Linked DNA regions of Drosophila melanogaster. The protein of the gene in region 3 interacts with the protein of the main gene of each other region in a biochemical or structural test. Each region holds a gene or a part of one and is shown on either strand. Other genes may lie near its edges. The genes, in order: Parp1, JIL-1, His2Av and Tip60.

Evidence for each region.
Region 1: the proteins of His2Av (region 3) and Parp1 form a complex in vitro, tested with the Drosophila melanogaster proteins (one study listed by BioGRID).
Region 2: of the proteins of His2Av (region 3) and JIL-1, one has a biochemical effect on the other in vitro, tested with the Drosophila melanogaster proteins (one study listed by BioGRID).
Region 4: of the proteins of His2Av (region 3) and Tip60, one has a biochemical effect on the other in vitro, tested with the Drosophila melanogaster proteins (one study listed by BioGRID).

Annotation. Positions count from the first base shown.
Region 1 is NT_033777.3:3,583,526-3,589,451, reverse strand, and holds the start of Parp1 (Poly-(ADP-ribose) polymerase 1), read left to right. Parts: upstream 1-2,397; 5' UTR 2,398-2,472; coding exon 2,473-2,586; intron 2,587-3,941; coding exon 3,942-4,083; intron 4,084-4,138; coding exon 4,139-4,472; intron 4,473-5,926. UniProt on the Drosophila melanogaster protein: Poly-ADP-ribosyltransferase that mediates poly-ADP-ribosylation of proteins and plays a key role in DNA repair.
Region 2 is NT_037436.4:11,089,619-11,095,929, reverse strand, and holds the start of JIL-1 (JIL-1 kinase), read left to right. Parts: upstream 1-2,736; 5' UTR 2,737-3,658; intron 3,659-4,073; exon of another isoform or gene 4,074-4,157; 5' UTR 4,158-4,290; coding exon 4,291-5,032; intron 5,033-6,311. Other genes in the region: CG46439 (uncharacterized protein), read left to right, coding at 1-1,437; Iyd (iodotyrosine deiodinase), read left to right, coding at 1,579-1,735, 1,791-2,497. UniProt on the Drosophila melanogaster protein: Phosphorylates 'Ser-10' of histone H3. May regulate gene expression by establishing or maintaining the structure of more open chromatin regions. Also required for normal polytene chromosome structure, for oogenesis and for viability throughout development.
Region 3 is NT_033777.3:26,865,271-26,871,099, forward strand, and holds His2Av (histone H2A variant), read left to right. Parts: upstream 1-1,658; 5' UTR 1,659-1,822; coding exon 1,823-1,825; intron 1,826-2,138; coding exon 2,139-2,216; intron 2,217-2,398; coding exon 2,399-2,512; intron 2,513-3,085; coding exon 3,086-3,316; 3' UTR 3,317-3,416; exon of another isoform or gene 3,417-3,471; 3' UTR 3,472-3,950; downstream 3,951-5,829. Other genes in the region: ball (ballchen), read right to left, coding at 1-964, 1,021-1,254; SPARC (secreted protein, acidic, cysteine-rich), read right to left, coding at 4,108-4,860, 4,923-5,084. UniProt on the Drosophila melanogaster protein: Variant histone H2A which replaces conventional H2A in a subset of nucleosomes. Nucleosomes wrap and compact DNA into chromatin, limiting DNA accessibility to the cellular machineries which require DNA as a template.
Region 4 is NC_004354.4:4,113,838-4,120,214, reverse strand, and holds Tip60 (Tat interactive protein 60kDa), read left to right. Parts: upstream 1-2,727; 5' UTR 2,728-3,362; coding exon 3,363-3,422; intron 3,423-3,489; coding exon 3,490-3,616; intron 3,617-3,670; coding exon 3,671-4,895; coding exon of another isoform or gene 4,896-4,905; exon of another isoform or gene 4,906-4,918; intron 4,919-5,000; coding exon 5,001-5,213; intron 5,214-5,285; coding exon 5,286-5,286; 3' UTR 5,287-5,415; downstream 5,416-6,377. Other genes in the region: tyf (twenty-four), read right to left, coding at 1,198-1,797; dgt4 (dim gamma-tubulin 4), read right to left, coding at 5,421-5,987.

The DNA.
Region 1 (5,926 bases), about 23 Mb from region 3:
GAAAAAGATGATAAAGATGATTTAAATTTTAGAATACAAAAAGATTTAACTCTTTACAATCACGCGGTCAAAAAAAGTGAAGTCAAAAGTGTAAAACATATTCAGTTGAGCCAAAAAATTAAGATTTTTTGTTATGTTTTTGAAAAAAGGATATAAAAACAAATTTAAGAGATCAGAAACTTTGCTATTTAACAAATAACTGATCTATTCATACATACAAATTTATTTAAGTCGGATTGCATATAACAAAGACCCTAGAATAACAAGATGAGTAACGCCATACGATTTTTTGGCACACGATATTTTCGCCGTGGCTCTAGAGGTGGCTCCAGGCTCTCTCGAATTTTTGTTAGAGAGCGAGAGAGCGGAGAGCGCTACAGCGAACCGCTCTTTTCTACGCATACAGTGATAGCAGACAACTTTATGTGTGCACACGTATGCTCATGCATTGTAAATTTGACAAAATATGCCCTTCACCGTAGAAGTTCTTAGACTTTAAATCTATATTATTTTTGATCAATTGGCACCATGCGAAAAATTCTTGTTTTGCATTGCCTTAACGTTATTATTATTTGAAAATAGATTAGAAATAGCCAAATCTATGTACATAATATCACAAAAATAAATTTCAAAAATGACTTTATATAAGAATATTTGTCATTAGAGTATTCATCTTGCGGCGTGTGAAAAATTAATAAGGCAATGATTGTTGAGTGCTTGTGTCCGCACTTCGTGCCTCAAGATATGAACAAAGCAAAGACACTAGAATAATTCTAGTGTCTTTGATGTGACTTTTGCAATAAACAGTTTTCATATTTTTATTTATTTTACAAATTTGTATTTTCTACTTCGTATTATTTTTATGAAATATTTATTTCTCGATGTAATGTATTCCTTTTGTTATAAGTAGTTATAATAATTTATATTTTACTTCCTTTAATTATTTAGCATACTTATTAAGTCATTTGACTTAATATGATTTATATATGATAATGATCCATTTTTATTATTTAAAATGCACATTAGATTCAGTTGTTTTTCAGTATGTTATTTAAATAACTGACGACTGAAAAATCGAGCAGTATATAATAAAAAACAATAGTTAGAAAAATAACTTAATTGGGGAATGTGGAAATGTTTTAATGTTAAACATTAAAATATTTCAAGTCGACTCGAAGGTCATATACGTAAATATAAGACCCCATTACAATTGTAATGGCCTCCCCGTGGTGTTCCCTGGGTACCGACTATTACACATATTACACATAAATAATTATCAACATAAATATAAATATGTAAACGGTAGCTAATTCGAGCGGCGATTTTAACAAACGAATTTAAAAAGCTTTAAAATTAAAAAATTTTAAAATTAAAATTAAAATTTTAAAATTATAATAAGAAGGGCGCGAATTTTTAAAAATTATTTTATTTCATCATATTGCTACGAAATTGGCAAAAAACTACCCTAATATGTACAATGTAAATTCATTTCTTTGATCAGAATTGATTTCGGCCCGAAAATCGTCTTCTAGCACAACACGCACACATATACGCGTTCTCGTCTCTTGTTTTTACTCACACAAGCAAGCAAATTCTATTTTTAGATTTCTTATGTTCTCAGCGTGAGCGAGCGGAAAGAGAGCAATTTTGGCCGTCACCAAAAAAGTGGCTGCATAGTGCCAAACCAATGTATGGCCGTTACGCATCTTGTTATTCTAGTGTCTTTGCCAAAACTAATGGTTGGGGGAGTGGCATATCCATAAGTCCATTAGACTTAAGCACATGCCTACACACAGCTTCTTATTATAGAAGAACAACACTAGTAAACCAAAAGCAATCCTGACTGGAATAAGCCCAAAGTCGTATACAGGATGATAATCGAAAACTTTATTTTAAGATTTCAATAAACAAAGTCGTGAGGATCTAAGAGCGTTTGTATCCAATAGCGAATGAACTCGAGTCCAAGAGAAATGCAAAGACAAATCAATGTTAGTAACTCCAAAGCTCTGTTTATTTCATTGGAACTCCAAAATCCAAAGCCCATATTTATAAAGCTCGAGGCCGAGGATTCAAAGTCAATCAATCCATATCAATTTGTTGAGTTCAGTTTCAGACCTTAATTAAAACGGTCGGTGTTATTATTCAGTAAGAACATAATTACCATTCCTTCTTAATCTTCCAAATGACCACCCTTTCTTGTTAAACTAGCTGGTGTATAATCGACACAGAATTTTAATGTTGCCGAATTCAATTACAAAGTTATATAGTTAACAGTCGTACGTCTTATAACAGAATACAGCTTAATTACGGAATGAGCTCCTGTACAAGGTCTTTAGAATCATTGGAAATCGTCTATAATAATATTTTTGTAGTCTTTAACATCGATATACAATTTTATTATTTAGGAAAATATCGCCAACATAATTCGATAAATAATAAATGTCTTGAAATTGACTTCCTTTAAAGTGTAATATGGATATTGAATTACCTTATCTTGCTGAGTATGCAAGAACTGGACGAGCCACTTGCAAAGGATGTAAAAGTACTATATCTAAAGATACTCTTCGGATTGCTGTCATGGTTCAAGTAAGTTACTATGTGGTACATACATACGTAAGTAGTCTGCAGATAAAAGATTGAAAATGAATTTGATTAAACTGATACTGATTTACGAAACTTTAAAAGATCCCGATTCGCCGTTAGTCCCATCGGTCGTCGACAGCTGCGGCATGTAATTGCCAGCGGTAAATCGTGTAGCGGTGGGGGCACAAATACTTGCGTCGCTCACCCACAGGGTGCCAGTGGCTTGCTGCAGTTCTCTGGCCCAGTGTGCGTGTGGCAATGCGTGCGGCCGAAGAAACGAAAACAGGTCCTCAAACATCACGTGAAATCGAAACTAGCGGGAACGACAGCGGGACTGACATTGGTACTGACAGTGGGACCGACATTGGGACCGACAGTGGGTCCGACATTGGGACCGACAGTGGGACCGACAGCGGGACTGACGGTGAGACCGACAGCGGGACTGACGGTGGGACCGACAGTGGGACTGACAGCGGGACCGACAGTGGGACCGACAGCGGGACTGACGTGGGACCGACAGTGGGATTAACAGTGGGACCGACAGCGGGACTGACAGTCGGACCAACAGTGGGACTGACAGTGGGACCGACAGCGGGACCGACAGTGGGACCGACCCTTCATTTCTTCTACCGTCACGCTTCAACCTATAAAAATGTTGCTTGTGAGTCGCTCACCCAAAGGGTTATTTCGCAGCAGGCGAAACACTCGGATATTTTTTATTGCCGAAAGTAGAGTGTCAAAAAACACCCGGGGGTATAGACACCCAGTTGGTGGGTGCGGGTGTACTAAGAGTGCCAGTGGCTTGCTGCAGTTCTGTGGTTGGGGCCGCAAAAATTGTAAGACCAGCTGAATTTTCGCCATGTCCTCACATGGTGATGATCGTTCTGAAACAAACTTTCACAGAGCGAAACATGAATACTAGCTTTTATAGTTTTCGAGATCATAGCTTTCATACAAAAGGACAAGGCCAATCAAGAATACCATGTCCGTCTGTCTGTCCGTATGAACGTCGAGATATCAGGAACTATAAAATCTAGAAGGTTGAGATTTAGCATACAGATTCTAGAGACATAGATGCAGCATGACCCATGTTGCCACGGCAACTCTAACGCCCACAAACCGCACAAAACTGCAACGCCAACCCTTTTGAAAAACGTGTTGATATTTTTTTTTTTCATTTTTATTAGTTCTGTAAATTTCTATCGACTTGCCACGCCCACTTTAAAGCCCTAAAATTGCACAAAACTGCCACGCACACACTTTTGAAAAATCGTTTTATTATTATTTTTTAATTGAAACGGTTACACCAAACGAACGAAAGACAAAGAAACTATTTTATTGTATTTCTTATTTTTTAGTCTGCATTTCATGATGCCAAAGTTCCGAATTGGTTTCATAAAACCTGCTTTTTTAAAAACCAGCGTCCCAGCTCAGTAGGAGACATACAAAACATTGGAAATCTCCGATTTGCCGATCAAAAGGAATTAACGGATCTTGTGGGTTAGTATTTAAAATTGATCTATATCAATTTAAAAACATTTTGAAATGTACTTAGAAAATATACAAGAAGTTATAAGCGCACAATTAGGAAAAAAGCGATCGAAGGCTTTTAACTTAGCATTAAAAGACTTTGGGATTGAATATGCAAAATCTAGTCGATCGACGTGTCGTGGATGTGAACAAAAAATAAACAAGGATCTAGTTCGCTTACGTAAAACTGTTTATGATACTGAAGTTGGTATGAAGTACGGAGGCCAACCTTTGTGGCATCATTTGGAATGCTTCGCCCAATTGCGCTCTGAGCTTGGCTGGTTTGCGTCAGGTGAAGATATGCCAGGATTTCAGAGCTTAGCAGATGATGATCAAGCGAAAGTTAAAAACGCCATACCGTAAGTTAATCTCACATTGAATTTCTATTAACTGTTCTGTAACTGTTCTGCATTGCTATTATTAAGTTATCCCTCTTAAAGAAAATAAGCTTGATTATACTGAAGATTGTAAACTGAAATAGATAACTGTAATTTGATCCACTAAGTATTCTGATCTCTTCTTGGTCATTCCTTAGTTGGGGATGCCCTTCAACTATATAGGTACAATAGTGTATATTCTTTGTTAAAAAATATTTATCAGGTAAAGGCAACATTTCCGGCACTAAAAAAATTAAATAATCGATCCCACCCTAAAAGATAAGACTCGAATTGTCCATGTCCGTATGAACGATGTGATTGTGGGAACTATAAAACTGGGTTGCGATTAAACATGCAGATCCGAGTGAAGCGGGCATATCAAAAGTTTTTTGACAATTGTAGATTGTAGAGGAAATCAACTATAACTTCGCCTGTAGTTTGTCGAAAAGTCAAGTGAATTTAACAATGTTATTTAATATATGTAAGTCGACCTTAATCGATGGGCATTGGTTGTATCGCCGCAGGAAAATAATGTAACTATTTTTCGCTATATTTAGGCTGGGTCGTGATTATTTGAGCGTAAATGTAACAGCTGAGTTAAAATTATACTGGAAAGGTACATACACTAGTGGGCATAAGTATTTAGACACCATTAGCTTGAAACTGCCGGGCTTTTCATAGTACAGTCAAATAAATAAGTAAACTATTGATGATAAAACAAAAAGTGCAATTACAGTTACACACGAAGGGTAAGTTTGGCTGTTTACCTTTTCAATTATCCTTGTGCTTATAAGAAAGCTAGACAGGCAACGATTTGGGCCGTGGCAAAAGTATTTAGACACATTTAATTAGTTCGCATTGATCTGTTGTTCGAAGAATATCAAATTTTCGACTTTTTTTTTAGATCATTTGAACATTTTTTCTTGATAACGTGGGACTGCCTACTTTTATTTCATTCATAAATTTGTTAAACATGGGGAAAACAAAGAAACTGAGCGAATTTATAAAAAATTGAATAATAATTAAGTATAACTCTGGTATTTCGGTACAAATTATCATTGATTTATACAAAATTCCACGGGCAACGGTGCATTACCAAATAAATAAATATAAAAAAACACACACAACCAAAAACGTTGCGCGTAGTGGCCGACCACGTAAAACAACTCAAAAGGGCGATGGTTATATTATACGGAAGTTTAAGCAGAATGTTCTACAAACTCCCCGATCGGTTGCCAAAGAACTAAAAGAAGGAACAGAAATCGATATCAGTGAAGGAACGTCTTAAGGAAGCCGATTTTGGAACATATGTTAGCAGAGTTATACCACAATAACTCTACAAATAAGTTAAAACGCCACGACTTTGCCAAAAAATATGTTGGACAGCCAGCATCATTCTGAAACAATGTTTTGTGGAGCGATGAAAGCTCTTTTGA
Region 2 (6,311 bases), on a different chromosome or scaffold from region 3:
AAGCCCGCTTTGGCATCACTAGATCCACCTAAAACACCCAATAGCATCGAGAAAACAAAGAAATCCGGGGGATTTCTCTCTTTTTTGTTTGGCAAACGAGACAGGCGGGCGAGGAATCAGAGTGAGACAAATGGAAACCATATCTCATTGGAGGATCATGATGTCAGGAAGCTTATACGTCTCTATAGCAAGCATAATAGCCTTTACAACCGCCATAATCGCTACTATGGTAACAAAGATATCGACGATGACTGCTACAACAGAATGGTGCGCTCATTTCCGGGAAGAAGCGTCTCGGAACTGAGATCCTGTCTGGAGGAGCTAAGGACGCTCTTTGAGCGGGAATACACCATTATCGAACGTGCTCGAAGGAAGTGTGGAGAGATAATGAGTCCTTCAATTCGCTACTATAATGAATTTCTTTTCCTGGTGCCACATCTTAATATACACTTCGACAAGGATCTTCCTGCCAGTGGAACTAGCCCACTCGCCGCCGGAAAACTTTTGCAAAATCCGATAGCCAACCCAGAGATGTTGTGCCAAAAGTTGACCAATTTCACGGATTTTCCTCTGGCCGGTTTTCCCGGCAATCTACTAACCAAGAGGCCCAAAAAAGACCCCCAAGACCGGCCAAACAAGAAGATCAAACCAATTCCTGATCAAGAAAATGCGAAGCAAGAAAATCCCATAGAGCAGGAAATTCAGGAGGCAGAAAAAGTCGCTGATCATGAAGTTTCGGTAGAAGAGAAAATCAGCGGGTTGGAGGATCAGGAACAGAAAGACGCACTCTCTCCATCGGAGCAGAAGAACATACAAAACAGTAAGGATAAAACCAGTCATCATCATTCCAATTGCAAGATGTCCAGCCATGAGAAGGATTTAGTATCCACCAATTTGACCTGTCCCTGCAAGCCGGAAGTGGAATCCTCACAAAGCCCAGTTTCCTGCCCCTGGATAGCCGAAAATTCAAAGTGTGAACCCCCGTGTCGGGAAACACCACCACAATCTACGCGAAATTCCGTATCCAGTCCGCAAAATTCAGATATTTCTGAATCCAGCAAAGAACCGGCTCACTTGATGGAGAAGGAACCATCCGGTCAGGAATCCGCGAATAGCCAGCAAGTGCAGATGCTTTGCGATATGATACGTACCGAGCTAACCACTGCTCCCGATTTTATATTCTTCGATGCCAAGTGGCGGATCATCGAGATTCTGAGAGAGGTGCACAAGCGCCAATTGGTTCACCAGAAGGCCATTCCACTCAACAATACACGCCGACCGATTCCGCCGCAAAAACGAAAACCGGGTGAGCCCAATCAGATGCTTAAGAATCCAAAATGCATGTCGGATAGGAGTGCCCACGAAAAGGGACAACAGAGGATGTGCGAGCATCACAAGGGCAGCCATTGCACCTACTGCTGCCGGAACAACAACTGAAGTGGAAACCAAAACCCATCCACCAGCATCCATCGCTATCAGCAATAGCCGTGACCCACTTAACCAAGTGATAAGCCAATCCGAGCGCAAAAGCAAAGCCACTTTCTCTCCGTCGCAAAAGCAGTTACATCTTGAAGCACCATGGATGTGGACGAACTGATCAGCAGCTCCAAGCTACTCAAGCATTGGCCAAGTTTATTTATCACTCTGGCGCTGATATGGATCGTAAAAAGATTGTTTTTTAAAGGGAATCGCGTATTAAAAACATATAATTTAGATGAACAAGTCGAGGAGGAGGGTAAGTTTTAAGATTATCCACGGTGAACATAAAGCTATTCTATTCTATTTTCCAGTTGAACACTTTGCCGATCTTGGCGATGAACTGCAACCGGCTCTGGAGGATAAGCCCCATGTGCCCTTCGTTCCCGGCCAGAATCTCAACCCTAATGGAGCCAAACGCTTATATGAACTCATGCGTGGACGCCGTAGCATTCGCTCCTTTAATAGCCATCCCAAACCGGATCTCAGCGTGATAGAGGACTGCATTCGGGCGGCGGGAACAGCTCCCAGTGGCGCACACACAGAACCCTGGACGTACTGCGTCGTACAGGAGCCGGAACTCAAGCGATCCATTCGGGAAATTGTGGAACAGGAGGAGCTGGTCAACTACAGCCAGAGGATGCATCCGCAGTGGGTCACCGATCTGCGACCCCTGCAAACCAATCATGTCAAGGAGTATCTCACCGAGGCGCCGTACCTTATACTGATCTTCAAGCAGACCTATGGATTGTCGGAGAATGGAAAGCGAATGAGGAGGCATTACTACAACGAGATATCCACTTCGATTGCGGCCGGTATCCTTTTGTGTGCCCTTCAAGCGGCAGGACTCGCATCGCTGGTCACCACTCCTTTGAACTGCGGTCCAGCCTTGAGAAACCTGCTCGGGCGACCCGTCAATGAAAAATTACTCATCCTACTGCCCGTTGGTTATCCGAAAGATGGATGCACAGTTCCCGACTTGGCGAGAAAGAATTTGTCAAATATTATGGTTACTTTTTAAGGTTTATTTACGTCCGTGCAGCTTACGAAATAGTTCAATAAAACCAAACTAAAATTTATGGTAATTCTTATATTTTTTCTATTGATAAACGAAATTTTCACATTTTCCTTAAATTTATTCTTCATTATAATTGTTAATCAAAATATAATATTCTTAAATATTTGAAACGATAGTCTCCACCATCCCTGCCAACCGATATACGGCTGCTTTCCAGCACCACGCTTTTTGGCCTCTTGTCAACACTATCGATAACGATAGCTACGGTAAGTGACACAAAAGCAAAGGGAAAATTTCTACGTGCGGTTCGTGTGCTGTGTGTTGAAATTACAAATAGCCAATTATCCGGCATTAATCGTTTTAGGGCTCTCTCGATTTTAATTGTATTATATTGTACTATAATACAGATATAAACCCGATTTGATCGAGTGTAACGGAAATCGACGCGATTCCCATCAAGGTGGTCCGTACCTAATAAGTGTTCACGAATGAGAGCAAAGCAGATGGCGGAGAGCGTCCTGCGTTTCAATGTGTGTGTGCGTAAACGAGTAGAAAGCGGCGGTAAAAACCTTCTCGTGTAACACAAAACAAATTATACAAAACATTCAATCTCAATATCAAAACGTTACTGTATTGTCTATTGAAAAACAAGTACAAGCGTACGCAGGGAAATTGGAAAATCCATTGAAAATCGAGAGCAACAGTCGCCGGAGCGGAATCAGCGGACGAAAACAAAAACGCTTTAAAAACGCAGCCGATACAGAAAGTGCCAGCGTGTGAGTGTGCATATGTGTACGTAGTTGTGGGCAAAGAGAACGGTAAAGAATAAGAAATCGAAAAAAAAAAATAAAAAACTAACTGTGGAAGTGAAAAATGCGCGACTGATAAAGATTGTGATAATCACGGCATAATATAACAAGCAAAAAAGAAGAATGAAAAGAAACCGCAACCGAATTGGTTGAATAATATTTAAGCCAACGCCAGTGCTGCATAAATCGGTGCACATTATCATTGGAACGTTCAGTGTTGCACATCGCTACCGCCCCACGCATAATCCAACACTCTTCCCCCTCCCCATCCAGATCCACCCACTCACACACACACACACTCCGATTCGGATTTCTTCGTCTGCATTATAATATTGCGCTTATAATCTTTCGCGAGGTGAGTCGAACTCCCAAATAGTGTTCTATTCAGAAATGAGTTTCCCCATCCAATTGTCCGCTAACAGCGGGAAAATTACTCCCGCCTGCGTTGAAACTGTACCATATTGTGGATGAAGAAATGGGATAGAAATGGGCAATGGGCATTGGGAAGGTACGGTGAAGATTGCCTAAATAGAACACAATAAGAAACAGCTATGTTCAAAACATCTTGCGGAATAAATTTCAACAATTCAGTTATTATTTATTTAGTATTTAAAATGTGTGAACTGGAACATTTATATCGTACATGTTGTCTATGCATTGTTGAACATCCATGAATAGAAAAAACTAATTCAGTTTCTAATTAAAAATACTACAACAATAAAACAGTCTAGCTAGCCAAAATGACAACTTTATGTCAGTACTCATATAAGAATGTGTCAAAAAGTTTAATGATTGTCTACAAATTGTTAGCGATTTTCGAAAAAATGTCTTTACTTTGATTTCTGTTTTTCCAGCTCAACGATGCGCCACGATCAGTCCCTGGACCTTTTTATTTTTATTTGTTAATTCCTGGAATATCCATCGATTACGTGAGGAGCACGTAGAGCATTATTAAAGGCATAGGATCTTTTACGGAAGAATCTAGCCATGAGTCGCTTGCAAAAGCAAAACTACGAGATCTTAAGCGGTACAAGTACGTCGCGCCTCAAGAATCATCAACATCCCCGTGAATCGGAGTCACTAGCCTACGAGGAGCCAGATCAAATGGTGCGGAATCATCTAAATGGCCAGCTGGTAGCCAATGGCAATGGCAAAACGCGAAAGAATAGCAATTCCGAAACGATGACCAATGGGAAAAAGTCCAAACTGAATACGGAGGGATCCGGCTCTGGTTCTGGAAAGACCTTGAACTACAATAATAATAACAATAACAACAACAGCATCAGTGCCACCAACGGTCAGTACACCAATAGCAGCAGCAAGACCACTTCAGCATCTGCAAGGGATTACACTTACCGCGAGACCATATCACCGCCCACACCTCCATCCCCGCCCACCACAAATGTGGCGGATATTGTTTGCATATCGGATGCGGAGAGCGAGGACGGACGCGATCCCGAGCGGGAGTACTACGACCAGGACATGGAGGAGGATGAGCCGAACGGGATAGAGATCGATGAATCCAGCTCCAGCTTGTCCAAGGCCAAGTCCAACAATGCAGCTGCAGCGGCGGCGGCGGCGGCTGCAGCAGCGGCAGCAGCAGCCTCGAAGGCCTCCTCGTCGACCACGCCCTCCTACGCCATGCCCACCAGCAATAGTACACCCCTTGATCTGGACAATGAGGCCCATCAACGGGACCTGGAGGCGGTCACCGATCTGAAATACTACGGTGAGTCATTCCACTCAATGATAGTGATAAAGAAGACCGGGCCAACTGCAAGCACAAGCTAGATAAGAAAATTTGTTACAAGTTGCAGGTCAGGATGTACTTATGTTAAATATGATAGTTTAATAATTCCGTCCATATCAAATTAAACCGCAACTTCTTCCCTGTGAATATTTCATGCCATTTTAAGGCAGCTGCCACAGAGCTTATCAAACATGGTAGTGTGGTGGAATAATTGATAACTTTAACCGGGTGGATGTCTCAAGGTTTTATTGAAATGTCGGCAGAGGGTGGCTGGTCAATGCCAGATGAAGTGCCGTCTCTATCGTTCTTTGTTAAAGTGGAGCACATGCATTTAACCTTGACACGATTACCCAGAAAACTCAACCCGGCTTTGTTCGCTCTTTGGGCCAAATCCAAAACTACTGACCTCCCCTGAAATCGCCCAACCTCGCCGTACTCACCTCTCACCACACTCTACATACATATACACAAAGCAGACAGAATATCCACCACCCAAATGTCTAATTTGATAACCGTGGGTCGAAAACCTATTGTTGCTGCTTGTTATTTGTTAAATTTGACACTTTTCGGTTGCATTTTTAAATAAATATTATTTACTGAGGACATTGGTCTGGATTTTGGTGTGGAAAGTAACACCTTTTTGAAGTAAACGTTTTTGTCAAGAGGTTTTCACAACAGCTGTTTATAAATCGAATAAAATAAATCTAGATAAAAACTAAACCTTCTCTAGTTTCGATTAAAATTCAATTCATCAAAGTTTCTATCTATCTCGATAATTAAGATGTAGTATTATTTCTTAAATAGTTCTTATATCTGGCTTATATCTTTCATAATATCATATGGAACCACTGTGCCACTTTTCGTCATCGCCGTGCAGTCGTGACCATGTCAGTTGTTTGTACAAATGTGCGTGCAACGCTGTTTGCGAGCGTTTGCTGTACTCACAAACATGCTTGTTTGCATAAACGGTTGGTTGTTGTTTCTAGGCAATTTATTTACTTGAACTTGGCAATGCAACTTGCCAAGCATAGATACATATGTATGTATGTAGGTATGTACATAAAGATAGGGCAACGAGTTAGCCTCCTGGATAATTGCCTTCAAATTGATAGGTGAGCTGTGTTTGTTGTTTGCTGTTAATTATCACAAGAACATCGTCACGGCAACGGGTGCTGCTAGAATGGTGGGGGAGGGGAGGGGTGAGTTGTATCATTAACCCCACCCTTTTGTAAATTAACAATAATAATTACACAATGCA
Region 3 (5,829 bases):
ACTTCTCCTCCTCCTCCTCATCATCTTCGCTGGCGGAGATTTTTTCGTCCAGTGATGAGTTCAAGACTGGCGAATCAATTTTTTTTGCTTTCCTGGCTGTTGCTGCCTTGCTCGTGCCGGGCGGACTTAGATTATTGTTGCTGCTGGTCTGTGGCTTCATCTTAAAGTCGAGATCTCCGTTGTTTGGAATTTTCAGCTGCTTCAGCGCACTTGAGAACCAACTGCGACACTTGTCGTAGTCCGGCTCCTGGTTGTGTGTTAGTTTTGAGACATACTTCATGAAATCCCCAATTGGCGGGGGCACTCCCTTCGGAAACAGCGTCTTCAGACTCTCGCCTATGTTATCCATAAATGCTTCCTTGGCCTTTTGAACTTTGGGGGGTACAGCCAGTAGTTTCTGCGTGACCCACGGCAACTCCGCGCCCAGCCACTCGATGAGATTGTAACCGAGTATCTCCAGATCAGCTCGTCTGGTTGGCACGCCCAGATGAGCATCCCTTGATGTGTATTCTATGGTGCCATTATGCATCTTCTTGGGGTCCGGCTTGAAGTCACCGGTGACGAAGTGTGAGGCCAGGCCGAAATCCACCAGGTACGCCTGCGCAGCGCCGCCTTTTTCCAGGCCCAGCAGTATGTTGGCTGCCTTAAGATCGGCATGAACGTAGCCGTTGCTGTGCATGTACTGATAGACGTCCAGCATCTGAATGGCCAGTCGGTAGACAGTGCCCTCGGGCAGTCGCTTGCCGTTCTGTTCCAGAAACTTGGTCAAATCGCTGCCGTAGCGCGGCATGACTATAAATCGATGCTTTTCACCATTGACCTCCACGGAACCATTAGCCAGTATGTAGGGCATGCCCAGGGACTTGAGACCGTGCTTCTGCATGAACTGTTTGATGTCCTCCAGCTTGGCGTTGCGCAGGTAGAAGTGCATCTCCACGAACAGAGGACCATTGCCATGTGGCTCCTAAAAATACGATTATAATAGCAAATCTCCACAAAAAAAAAACGAGCGGCACTCACGCATTTGACCACAGCATCGTAGTTCTTCTCACCCACTTTGCAAGCCGCGTAGATCTCACCGAATCCTCCAACTCCGATCGAGGGTCCAATGCGCCACTGGCCTTTGGCTAAATCGGTGAAAACTGTGCCCTCCTTCACCTTCTCCGGCATCTTGTACAGCTTGCTCTTGGCCTTCTTGGCCGACACCACCTTCTTGGCCGGAGCGGCGGCTTTCGGCTTGGCTACACGCGGCATTCTCTGGGCAAGATCGTCGTTAAATAGCGGCCAAGTATAATATTCGCAAATTCCGCTCGAAATGCCGGGCCATCAGGGTTGCCAATCGGCGCGGGGAGTAGCGTCCTTCAGGGTTGTCAAGTGAGTGACAGCTTAAAAAAAAATATAACCCAGTAGGACTACTTGTAAAAACGACGTATTTCCAGGGCTGTTGCCGAGTCATTGAAACATAAAAATAAAAAAGGATGATTATGATTTCAAGGATATATTACGATAGACAGCTCTGCAAAACGGCGCCACTTGGCAATGTGCGGCCACAAAAGGAAGCTACCATCTAGGGGTGAGGGCATATCGATTGGCCACACATCGATATATTCCGTTCCACCCCTGGCGTCCGCTGACGGCGTCTTTTCCCCGAAAAAATTTCAAGTAGTCGAAACCGAATTCCGTAGAAACAACTCGCACGCTCCGGTTTCGTGTTGCAACAAAATAGGCATTCCCATCGCGGCAGTTAGAATCACCGAGTGCCCAGAGTCACGTTCGTAAGCAGGCGCAGTTTACAGGCAGCAGAAAAATCGATTGAACAGAAATGGTAATATTGCGGTGAATTTTTGAGCGGCAGCGCATCTCGCTTTTCCCACTGCGCGTGCCCCCCGCGAATTAAATATTGATGCGGGGATTGCGGAGACGCGGACAACAAAGTGCACGCAAAGTGGACACCACGTAGGCCGCAACAACAAGGAGCAGCGAAATCGGCGGGCATTTGTTATTGTGCTGCTGCGGGCAATCGGCCGTAACCTCACTTTGGCAGCGGTGCCTCCATTTTGTGTTTTCTTCTGCGACTCGTGCCACATTCGCTTTAATTCGTTATTTTAAGAAATGCATTGTGCTGTGTCTATTCGCAGGCTGGCGGTAAAGCAGGCAAGGATTCGGGCAAGGCCAAGGCGAAGGCGGTATCGCGTTCCGCGCGCGCGGGTCTTCAGGTGAGTTTTACAATCTGTACCTCGGTTTTTGGCGCCTTTTCGGTACCCACCTCGCCAACGAGCATATTCCACCACACTAACAGGGTGCCCGCCTTCGTTGGTTGGTTGGGGTTGACAAAAACATAAACAAGCCAGCCGGTCAAGCCAATTAACCAGTTACCTGCCTCTTATGTCCCGGACAGTTCCCCGTGGGTCGCATCCATCGTCATCTCAAGAGCCGCACTACGTCACATGGACGCGTCGGAGCCACTGCAGCCGTGTACTCCGCTGCCATATTGGAATACCTGACCGCCGAGGTAAGTGTGCTTCCGCCGAGTTTTCCCGCTTTTCTCTCGTGGTACTTTTTCTCGCTTCAATGTAAACAGCATTTACCAGAAATATTCAAGGGAAACATTTTTTTTTCCACAGTTGCATTCTCTCCACTTTTCTTATTGTGTACAGTTATTTCGAATTTCCCCGTTCCAATTCAAAAACACACTTTCTTATTGACATTTCGTGTGGAATGAGAATGATGAAAATGTACATCTAATTCATGAAATGCTCGAGGCGCACATTATCAGTTGTTTAAATCTAAATAACAGTAGTTTCGATTTAATGTATAACGCTTTTAATTTTCTAAGAATTATACAGTTTTATAGAGTTTTTGCGCCATTAGGCAGTTACACTTTTCCCGCCTTTTTTCCGAATATAACGTTTACCGTTGAGTTTTTTTTTTTTAATGTTGTGATGTTTATTTAAAGAAATTTTATTTAAAAGATTTCAAAGTTTGTTTTGGTAATGAGCGATACAAGTAAATAAATTGCTTTAGCTTTTGCTTATCCTCAATTGAAATCTTTGATTAATTTCTTTGGTTTTCCCAATCATTTTAGGTCCTGGAGTTGGCAGGCAACGCATCGAAGGACTTGAAAGTGAAACGTATCACTCCTCGCCACTTACAGCTCGCCATTCGCGGAGACGAGGAGCTGGACAGCCTGATCAAGGCAACCATCGCTGGTGGCGGTGTCATTCCGCACATACACAAGTCGCTGATCGGCAAAAAGGAGGAAACGGTGCAGGATCCGCAGCGGAAGGGCAACGTCATTCTGTCGCAGGCCTACTAAGCCAGTCGGCAATCGGACGCCTTCGAAACATGCAACACTAATGTTTAATTCAGATTTCAGCAGAGACAAGCTAAAACACCGACGAGTTGTAATCATTTCTGTGCGCCAGCATATATTTCTTATATACAACGTAATACATAATTATGTAATTCTAGCATCTCCCCAACACTCACATACATACAAACAAAAAATACAAACACACAAAACGTATTTACCCGCACGCATCCTTGGCGAGGTTGAGTATGAAACAAAAACAAAACTTAATTTAGAGCAAAGTAATTACACGAATAAATTTAATAAAAAAAACTATAATAAAAACGCCAATCATGTTATTTCCAAAAAAAAAAAAAAAAAAAAAAAAAACTAGACGAGATGTTTGCGCTTGTGTCGATGAATGTAAAGAATTGCAACTACATAGATGGTAATTAATTTCAGCTGTAAGAAGTACAAGTTTTTCATAATTGTGAGAAAAGTGCAGTAGTATCGCTTAAAGTTCAGTTTTAATCAGGGCATTTAGCAGCTCGAACCCAATGTATTTGTAAGCCCAATAAACGTGTAAATGCCTAGAGCAAAATATCACAACTGTAGCTTTTCATCCGAAAGATAATAATGAATAGACTGACCTGACGTTTTTCAAAATGCGTATTATTTCAAAGAAGTTGTTATATATTTCATTGAATAGCGAGCATTTACACAATTAACTGCTAAATTAGACATTTTTCGGATTAAGGAAGCAAGTAGTAACTACCTATTGCATACTACAGAAGTGGATATGGAAAATGGGCTGTGTCCTAACCCAGAAGATGGGGCTGAGCCCGCTGGACGTCGTCGCAACGCTCCTTGAGGTCCTCGGGATCCAGCTCCAGGCAGGCGCCCCACTCCACCAGGGTGATGCGATGGTCCTTGTTGGAGTCGCAGGACTCGAGGAAGGGTGCGATGCAGTGCTCGAGACTGACCAGCGGAGCACGGATGGGGAAGAGCTCGTGGCGCGAGACGGAGCGATCGGTATCGCCGTCCAGGTCGCACCACTTCCACACGGCGGCGTTCGACCAGCGACGCGAGTTGTTGGTCTCCGCCTCCAGCTCCATCTGCATGTAGTGCTCGGTCAGCTCGTCGCGCTCGGCCAGGTCGCGCATCACGTTGAACAGCCAGTCGCGCATGCGCCTGGGGAAGTCCTTCAGGTCCTCGCCCTCGCAGCTCCTGGGCTCGTGGCAAGCGCCGTAGTAGTCGATGTGCATGTGCGCGTTGTCCGGATTGGTGCAGCCGGGCTCGCCGCTGTCGCACCAGCAGCGCTGCTGATACACAGAGCAGTCCGACGGCCAGGTCTCGTTGGTATTGGTGCAGACCAGGCGGCGAGTGTCCACCTCCTCCGGGCACTCCGGAATGCACACGCATTTGGGCTTCTCGTCGTGCATCTGGCAGATGCGACCGGCTCCGCAGCTCATCGTTTCGCACAGATCCACCTCGACAACGGGATTGAGTAGATTGTGCTGCACTTCGGCCAGCTTGGTGGCAATCTCATTCTCGCGCTCAATATCCTTGATCTGCGAATGGAATTCAGTTAGTGCATTAAGTGTGATTTGTGGTTTGACTTGCGGCCACATGCCTTGTTCTTCTCCTCCAGCAGGCGCAGGAACTCCTCTTCGTTCTCATCGATGTCGGACAGGTCGAGGTCCTCATCCAGCAGATCTTCGGAAAACTCCGTAGAGGCCTGGACGTGGCTCACAGCCAGCAGGCCCAAGCCGAGCAGCAGCCAAAGGGAGCGCATCTCGAATGGCGATCTCAACTACAGGGATTGCAAGTAAAGCATCTTTAAAACACCTTTTTCTTCTCTTTATATTTAAACTATATATTTGGAACTAAAAGTGCCTTTATAAATAGAGTACATTATCAAGTCATTGCGATTGTGAAAACCCAAATTACATTGAGATTAGCTGTGGCCCTGGCCCAACTTCCGTTTCAAGGATTGGTTTGCGACTGTACCGTGTGCGCTGCGTCGTTACTGTACTCCACTGGCGATCTTGTAACCACCAAACAACGGGGTGGTTTTACATGCACATCTCGTGCGGCGTCTTTTTGCTCATTGAAAACAATTGAAGAAGCCGCAAAAATCTTGCAGGGTTCAAAAGGTCAACGCGAATGTGGCGCGCAGATACAGATGCATTTCCTTTTATGGGCAATTTTATTTATGGATCTTTAGATCTTGTGGAACAACAAAGCCAACTCATTGATGGCGGAAGATGACTACTGCAGATCTGGAGTTTTTAAAATAGAAACAAAGTCGGGGGAATGGATAAAATCTCAGAATTTTCAATGTTTGCTTTTCATTTCCTGCTGCCTGCTGCAAATAAGCATTTTTCTCGCTTTTTGCAACCGCAAATTTGAAATATGTTTGAATATTTCAGAATTTGGGGCATGTTGAACACATGTTGAGCAGTTCAAATCGTTTATGAAATCATCTATATATGCAGATGCTCCCATTAATGCGAATATACCTGATTAAAGCTGACCTT
Region 4 (6,377 bases), on a different chromosome or scaffold from region 3:
AACAATAATCGCTGCGACTTAACCTAAAAAAAAAAAAACAAAAGAATTCGGAGCTCCACTTATTCCAAACACATGCCCTTCTGAGTTCCTTATGCGAACTGATGAAGTACCGACCGCAGAGCAATAGAAGTATTAAATGGCACACGGTTCCAGTAAGTAAACGCTCTACATACGCACACACATGTGTACTATATGGTGTTGCACACGAACACAAGAAAACAGAAAAAAAAAAAAAAAACAATAACTGAAATAATAACGGGAATAGGCGAGAAGTTTTCGTGGTTAATGCCGCGGATGTCACCAATGCTTTTATAAGATAAACAAACGCTTTGCGGTTTTATCCGTTCCTTCTGCCCGATTCGGGGTCTTGATTTCAATAATTATCGAAGGCGCTGGTCAAAAAACCGACTGCGATCAGAAATTGAAGTTCCTGTGTGGCGATTACTTGATGGGACCAAATGTAACGGCACTATTTCGAAAGCCACAATCCCAGTCAGTCAGAACGAGATAACAGTATGCTTGGTCTATTTCTACATCATTTTCGAATTCTTTGCCATTAACTTCGTAAACGGTACTTTGGCTTCTATTCGCATACATATATGTATGTATGTGAGTATGTATTCATTAGGGGGATGCAATTTGACTGTCAATATTTATTTTTTTTTTAATAAAATTCGGTTTTCGATAAAACAGTGTTTGTGAGTGAGTAATCGGCTCACTTAAAGTTTTTTCCAAAGGTCATGTTTTAAGGGGATTTCGGCATTTTCATTTTCGACAACTTTAATGGACCGCAAGCGTAAGAATCTATTTTAGTTTATAGCTTAGTGTGCAAATAAACAATATTTATATCTAATTTATGTATACCTTGGTTTTGGTGGTAACGTAAAGATCGGACAACTTGCTGTCCAATACTGGAATTCCACCCAAAATCGAAATTAGTTTCAAATTTTACGTTTACTTAGTTGTTTCTCAACTTAGTCGCCCTGGTAGAGCTCTATTCAAGCCTGGCCATGCATAAGATATGGAGTCCAAACACCATAGAGCTTTGGAGCCTCCAGAACGTACACAAATGTGAAATTTTGCGAGTAACAAACATAACTATACCTTTTTCTTAATAAAACAATATCTTAACTCGGTTTCTGCTTAACATGCACTATATTTCCACCTTAAGATGCAACTCAGCCAGAGCGCACTTACCTTTTTCTTCTTCTGTCGCTTGCCGACATTCTGATCGTCCTGGGTCTTGCCCTTGGCAGTGGCTCCGTACTGGAGTACCCTGCGGTTTGGTCGCGACAGTTCAGCGCTGGGCGAATCCTTTAGCATGGCAAAGACCTGCGAGAAGGACGTATCTCCTGCTGCTGCTTCTGCTGCGGATCCTTTGGCAGCGTCTGCCGTGGCTGCGTGGTTACCAGAGCTATGGCTATTACTAGGGGATGATGACTTCTTGGGGTCATTGCCTCTGCTGCTACTGCCGCTGGTGGCTACATGGTTGGCAGCCACTGGTGCCGCTCCTTGGCTGTCCTCGTCTTTGGCCCCCTGGTTCCTACAGGCCTCGTCAAGCTGCGCGTCTGCCTTCGCCACATGGTCTGACATCATGGTCATAAGCTGCTCCTGTGGGAACGGCGTCGGCGTTGTTTTGGTGACGGTGGTCGTCGTGGTGCTCTCGCTCATCGTGCCAGCGGCAATCGAGACGATGGGCGTGTCCGGTATGATCGTTGGCAGTTTGGCAGCTGCTCCACCAGATGCCACACGATCCGCCGGTGTGTCCGATGATGACGGCGTTTGTTCATTGTTCATCTTCTTTCGTTTGGTGGCATGCAACGAAGGAGAAAAACAAATGCCATTCGAATTCCTCGAATCTGTTAGGGCGTGTGAGAAGAGGGGAATGTTTGTTTTAGTAAACGGGTATATCTCGCATTCCCATTAACTGCTTACAAACTGTTTCTTCTCTTCGCGATGTTTCTAGGTAGCCCAGCTGCCCAGCCGCCGTGTGGTTGCCACCGCGACTGCAAGTGCTCTGCAGGCTGTTCCGCCGATTCCTAACGATTCCTCTCGACTTCCAGACGGTTTGAGGCACAGGGGAGCCCACCTATTGCGCATCAGTTTGGACTCCTGCTGCACTTGACAGGCCTGTCGTCAGTAGCTCTCCTCCGGCTCAAACCTTTGCTCGCGGCATTTACGTAGGTTCCTGGGCACGGGGATGCGGATTGCTCGCAAACAGACCGGAATACGGAAATGTGTGCGCACGGATCTGCAATTGATTGGGAAATGGGGATGAAGTTGAGACTAAAACTGAAACTGAGACATTGGACCACTGACTGGGTGTTTTGCAGCATTTGTTGTTGTTCTGGTCATGCGGACGAGCGACAAGGGGCGGTGGGTGGTAGCAGGTGCGTCTGTTTAGTCTTTGGCGACCCCTTGCGGCCCACTGACTTCGAATTTCTTTAAAAAGCACTGGTCTCTTTCCATATTCATTTTTTTTATTTTTTTTTTTTTTTGGCTAAAAAGCAGTGTTGCTAACTACGCTGCGTGCCAGGGTTGACAAATGCTGTTTGTTGTTTGTAGGGGCAAGCCGTTGAGATTGCTAAATCGGCGTTTGCTCTAGGCTTGCATCTTACTAATCAACACGAGATTGCCTGCCCGTTTTGCAACTAATTAGTGGGATATGCCCATCGAGTTGGCAGCCCTGCGGCTGTTGTCAGTGGCAACACTATCGCAAAACACGTCATTTTGACACAGCTTTTTCACCAATTTCCCGCTCAGCTCGTCAGCATTGGGGCACTGCGGCACAGTTGCCCAGCAGTTGTGGTCACAATTACCCAGTAACTGAAGTTTTCCGCGGATCACAGTAGTCATTTATTGATAAATACGCCAGTCGATGACAGCTGTATAACTTTCTGCGCACTCACACGAGCGCACACGAATGTACGCACCCACACACACGCACACAAATTTACGCCTGTGTACATTTCTCTGACCTTCTCAGCGTTTTTATTTTTTGGTTTGGCAACTGAAAAGAAGGGAGCACATAACTGCGCACTCAAGTTCTAGCAACTGCAATTGAGTCGAACGGTTGTGCTTAATATGTTACAGTTGTTTGTAAGCGGGCGAAATTGTTTAATTGCACAGTAGGCACATGAGAAAAAATACCGAACCCGAATTGAAAAACTCTCTGGAATTGTTGTTGTGTTGTGCAGCACTTTGAAAAGGCGACGCGACGCTGCGCAGCACTGCCCATGTCATCAACATTTTTAAACCGCTGATTCACTGTGGCGGTAATCGATTGGTCGATAGTTATTTACGTTTCGCTATCTGGCAATACTGCTGTTTTAGGAAAAAAAAAACGCGTAAAATATAAACAAATGAAAATTAACCACAAATATGAGTTCGACGACGATGTGGCCTCCATATGCGAGTCAACGGTGGGTTCCGCTACGCCTTGGCGTGTTTTGGGTGTTCATTCTAATGGTTTTAACCGCAAACTTGCAGGCCGCCCTAACCGAGGGATGTCGTTTACCCGTCAGGATGCACAAAACGGACGACTGGCCACTAGCGGAGATTGTGAGCATCAAGGAGTTGGATGGGCGCCGGCAGTTTTACGTGCACTATGTGGACTGTGAGTACCAAGTCGTCCAGTGGGAGCATATTTAGTATAACTGCCAATCCGCAGTCAACAAGCGCTTGGACGAGTGGGTCAACGAGGAGGATCTGTACACGCGAAAGGTGCAATTTCCGCGGAGAGACGGCTCACAAACAGGCACCAGCACTGGAGTGACCACGCCACAGCGCCACCATTCCCTAGCGGGCAGCGTTTCTCGGCCTACATCACCGCAACACCCTGGTTCCGGGGCTCTGGCAGCCATCCCCCAGACTCCTACTGGTGCATCAGGCAGTGTTCCTCCCCCTGCTGGCATTCCAAACTCTGTGGCTCCACCCGGAACACCAAGCAGTGGGGGAGAGCTTGTGAATGGCAACAATCTGGCCGCAGCCCTTCAGAAACGCATCAATCGCAAGCGAAAAAACCACGGAGGCTCGGCCCATGGACACCACAGTCTGACCAGTCAACAGCAGCAGTCACATCCGCATCCTACAACTCCGCAGACACCCACGGCTACGCCCGTGCATGTGACCGGCGACGGTTTAATAAGCGGAGCGGCCAATGATGATGGTGATGGATCGCAGGATGGCAAGACGCCCACGCCGAGGCAATCAGGCAGCATGGTTACGCACCAGGACGACGTGGTCACCCGCATGAAGAACGTGGAGATGATCGAGCTGGGCAGGCATCGCATTAAGCCCTGGTATTTCTCACCCTATCCGCAAGAGCTGTGTCAAATGCCCTGCATCTACATCTGCGAGTTCTGCCTGAAGTACAGGAAGAGCAGGAAGTGCCTGGAGAGGCACCTGTCCAAGTGCAATCTTAGGCATCCACCGGGAAACGAGATCTATCGCAAACATACAATTTCCTTCTTTGAAATCGATGGACGCAAAAACAAGGTGTATGCCCAGAACTTGTGCCTGCTTGCCAAACTCTTTCTCGACCACAAGACACTCTACTATGATACCGATCCGTTTCTCTTCTACGTAATGACAGAGTTCGACTCGCGCGGCTTCCACATAGTAGGGTACTTCTCCAAGGAGAAGGAGAGCACAGAGGACTACAACGTGGCCTGCATTCTCACAATGCCTCCGTATCAGCGCAAGGGCTACGGCAAGCTGCTCATTGAGTTCAGCTACGAGTTGTCCAAGTTCGAGGGCAAGACGGGATCGCCGGAGAAACCATTGTCTGATCTGGGTTTGCTGTCCTATCGATCGTACTGGGCGCAAACCATACTGGAGATCTTTATCAGCCAAAACCCGAGCACGGACGGCGAAAAGCCCACTATAACTATAAAGTATGGCTAGTTCTAAGCTTAAAGTAATACAATTTTCAATCCACAGAGATTGTGCTTCATTGCCGAAACATAGATTAATCATGCTCCCAAAATTTTTCTTCACAGCGACATCTGCGAATGCACATCCATCAAAAAAGAGGACGTGATCTCAACGCTGCAGAACCTGAACCTGATCAACTACTACAAGGGCCAGTACATCGTGTGCATCAACCGGGTTATCATCGAGCAACACCGGCGAGCAATGGACAAGCGCAAGATCCGCATCGACTCGAAATGCCTGCACTGGACACCCAAAGACTGGTCCAAGCGCTCCAAATGGTAATCTCCTCATCTTCTCCGTATAAATAACTGAGTTTAAACAGCTTTGAATCCGTTTTTTTTTGTTTTTAGATTTCCGCTACCAATATTCTTCATCGGATGATCCTGGCTTCGTTGTAGCTTGTAGTTTTCATTTACAGTTTCCGTTTTTAATGTTATAAACTAGTTTATATCATACAATATTATATATACTTTTGAGACGACCGGCTAGTTGTTTGTTTCCCGCGGTGGGAGAAGATCCTCCACAAGGCGGTCCATTGCCTGTATCATGCCCATCTCCATACCATTCTCCAATCCATCGACGGCGGTACGCAAACTTCTTAGAGCTTCTTGGTTCTGGGCGAACTCCCGTTGTTGCCGGCATAGATTTAGGCGCGGTTTGTGGGTGGTGTTCAGATGTTCCAGGCACTGCTTCACATCGTTGGAGTCCAGAATGGCGGGACGCAGATCACTGCCCAGTTTGGATCGCAAACTAGCGATATCCTTGGCCGCCTGGTCGACTTGATTCACATCAGATACACGATGGGCATCCACGGCCGCCTGCAGGGCTCCGCACTTCAGGAGCCTCGCCAGCCGCCCAAAGTCCCGCTGATACTCACACTTGGCGTCCAGCCAAATGCGTACTTGCTCCTCCACCTGGCGCTTTACATTGCGGCTGTCTTCCTGAAAACGGCGCATCGCCTCCAGGTGCAGCAGGTATTGGATGTCGTCCATGGTGCCCTCAGTTGTCAATGATGGCGGTGTGGTCGTGGTGGGAGTGGGTGGAGTTTCCATAGTGGCTTACAAAAACTTCTTAGTTTTTAAAGTGGGAAATTCGGATTCGATTGCCGACGCTATCGCTTTCGCAGCTGCTATCGGTAGCATTTGAAGTCGGCTAACGGAGATTTTTGTAACGATAGGCGCGTAGCTATGTTCGAGTCAAATTTGGCTATTAATAACTATATAAAAAAAAAATGAAAATAATTCGAAAATGTAAATAACAACAAGATATGTAGGTTTCCTTACATAAACTAACAGGTTTTTAAAGTTTCTAGAAAACTGAAATAAGTTGTTTGATTTTGCTTACCGATAGTTGGGAAACCAGCTCTTATTGATTTTGGGGCTAAAAATGTAAGCCATGCAAATGAAGTTAACGTTTAAAAACAAGTCAATTCCTTGCAGCAC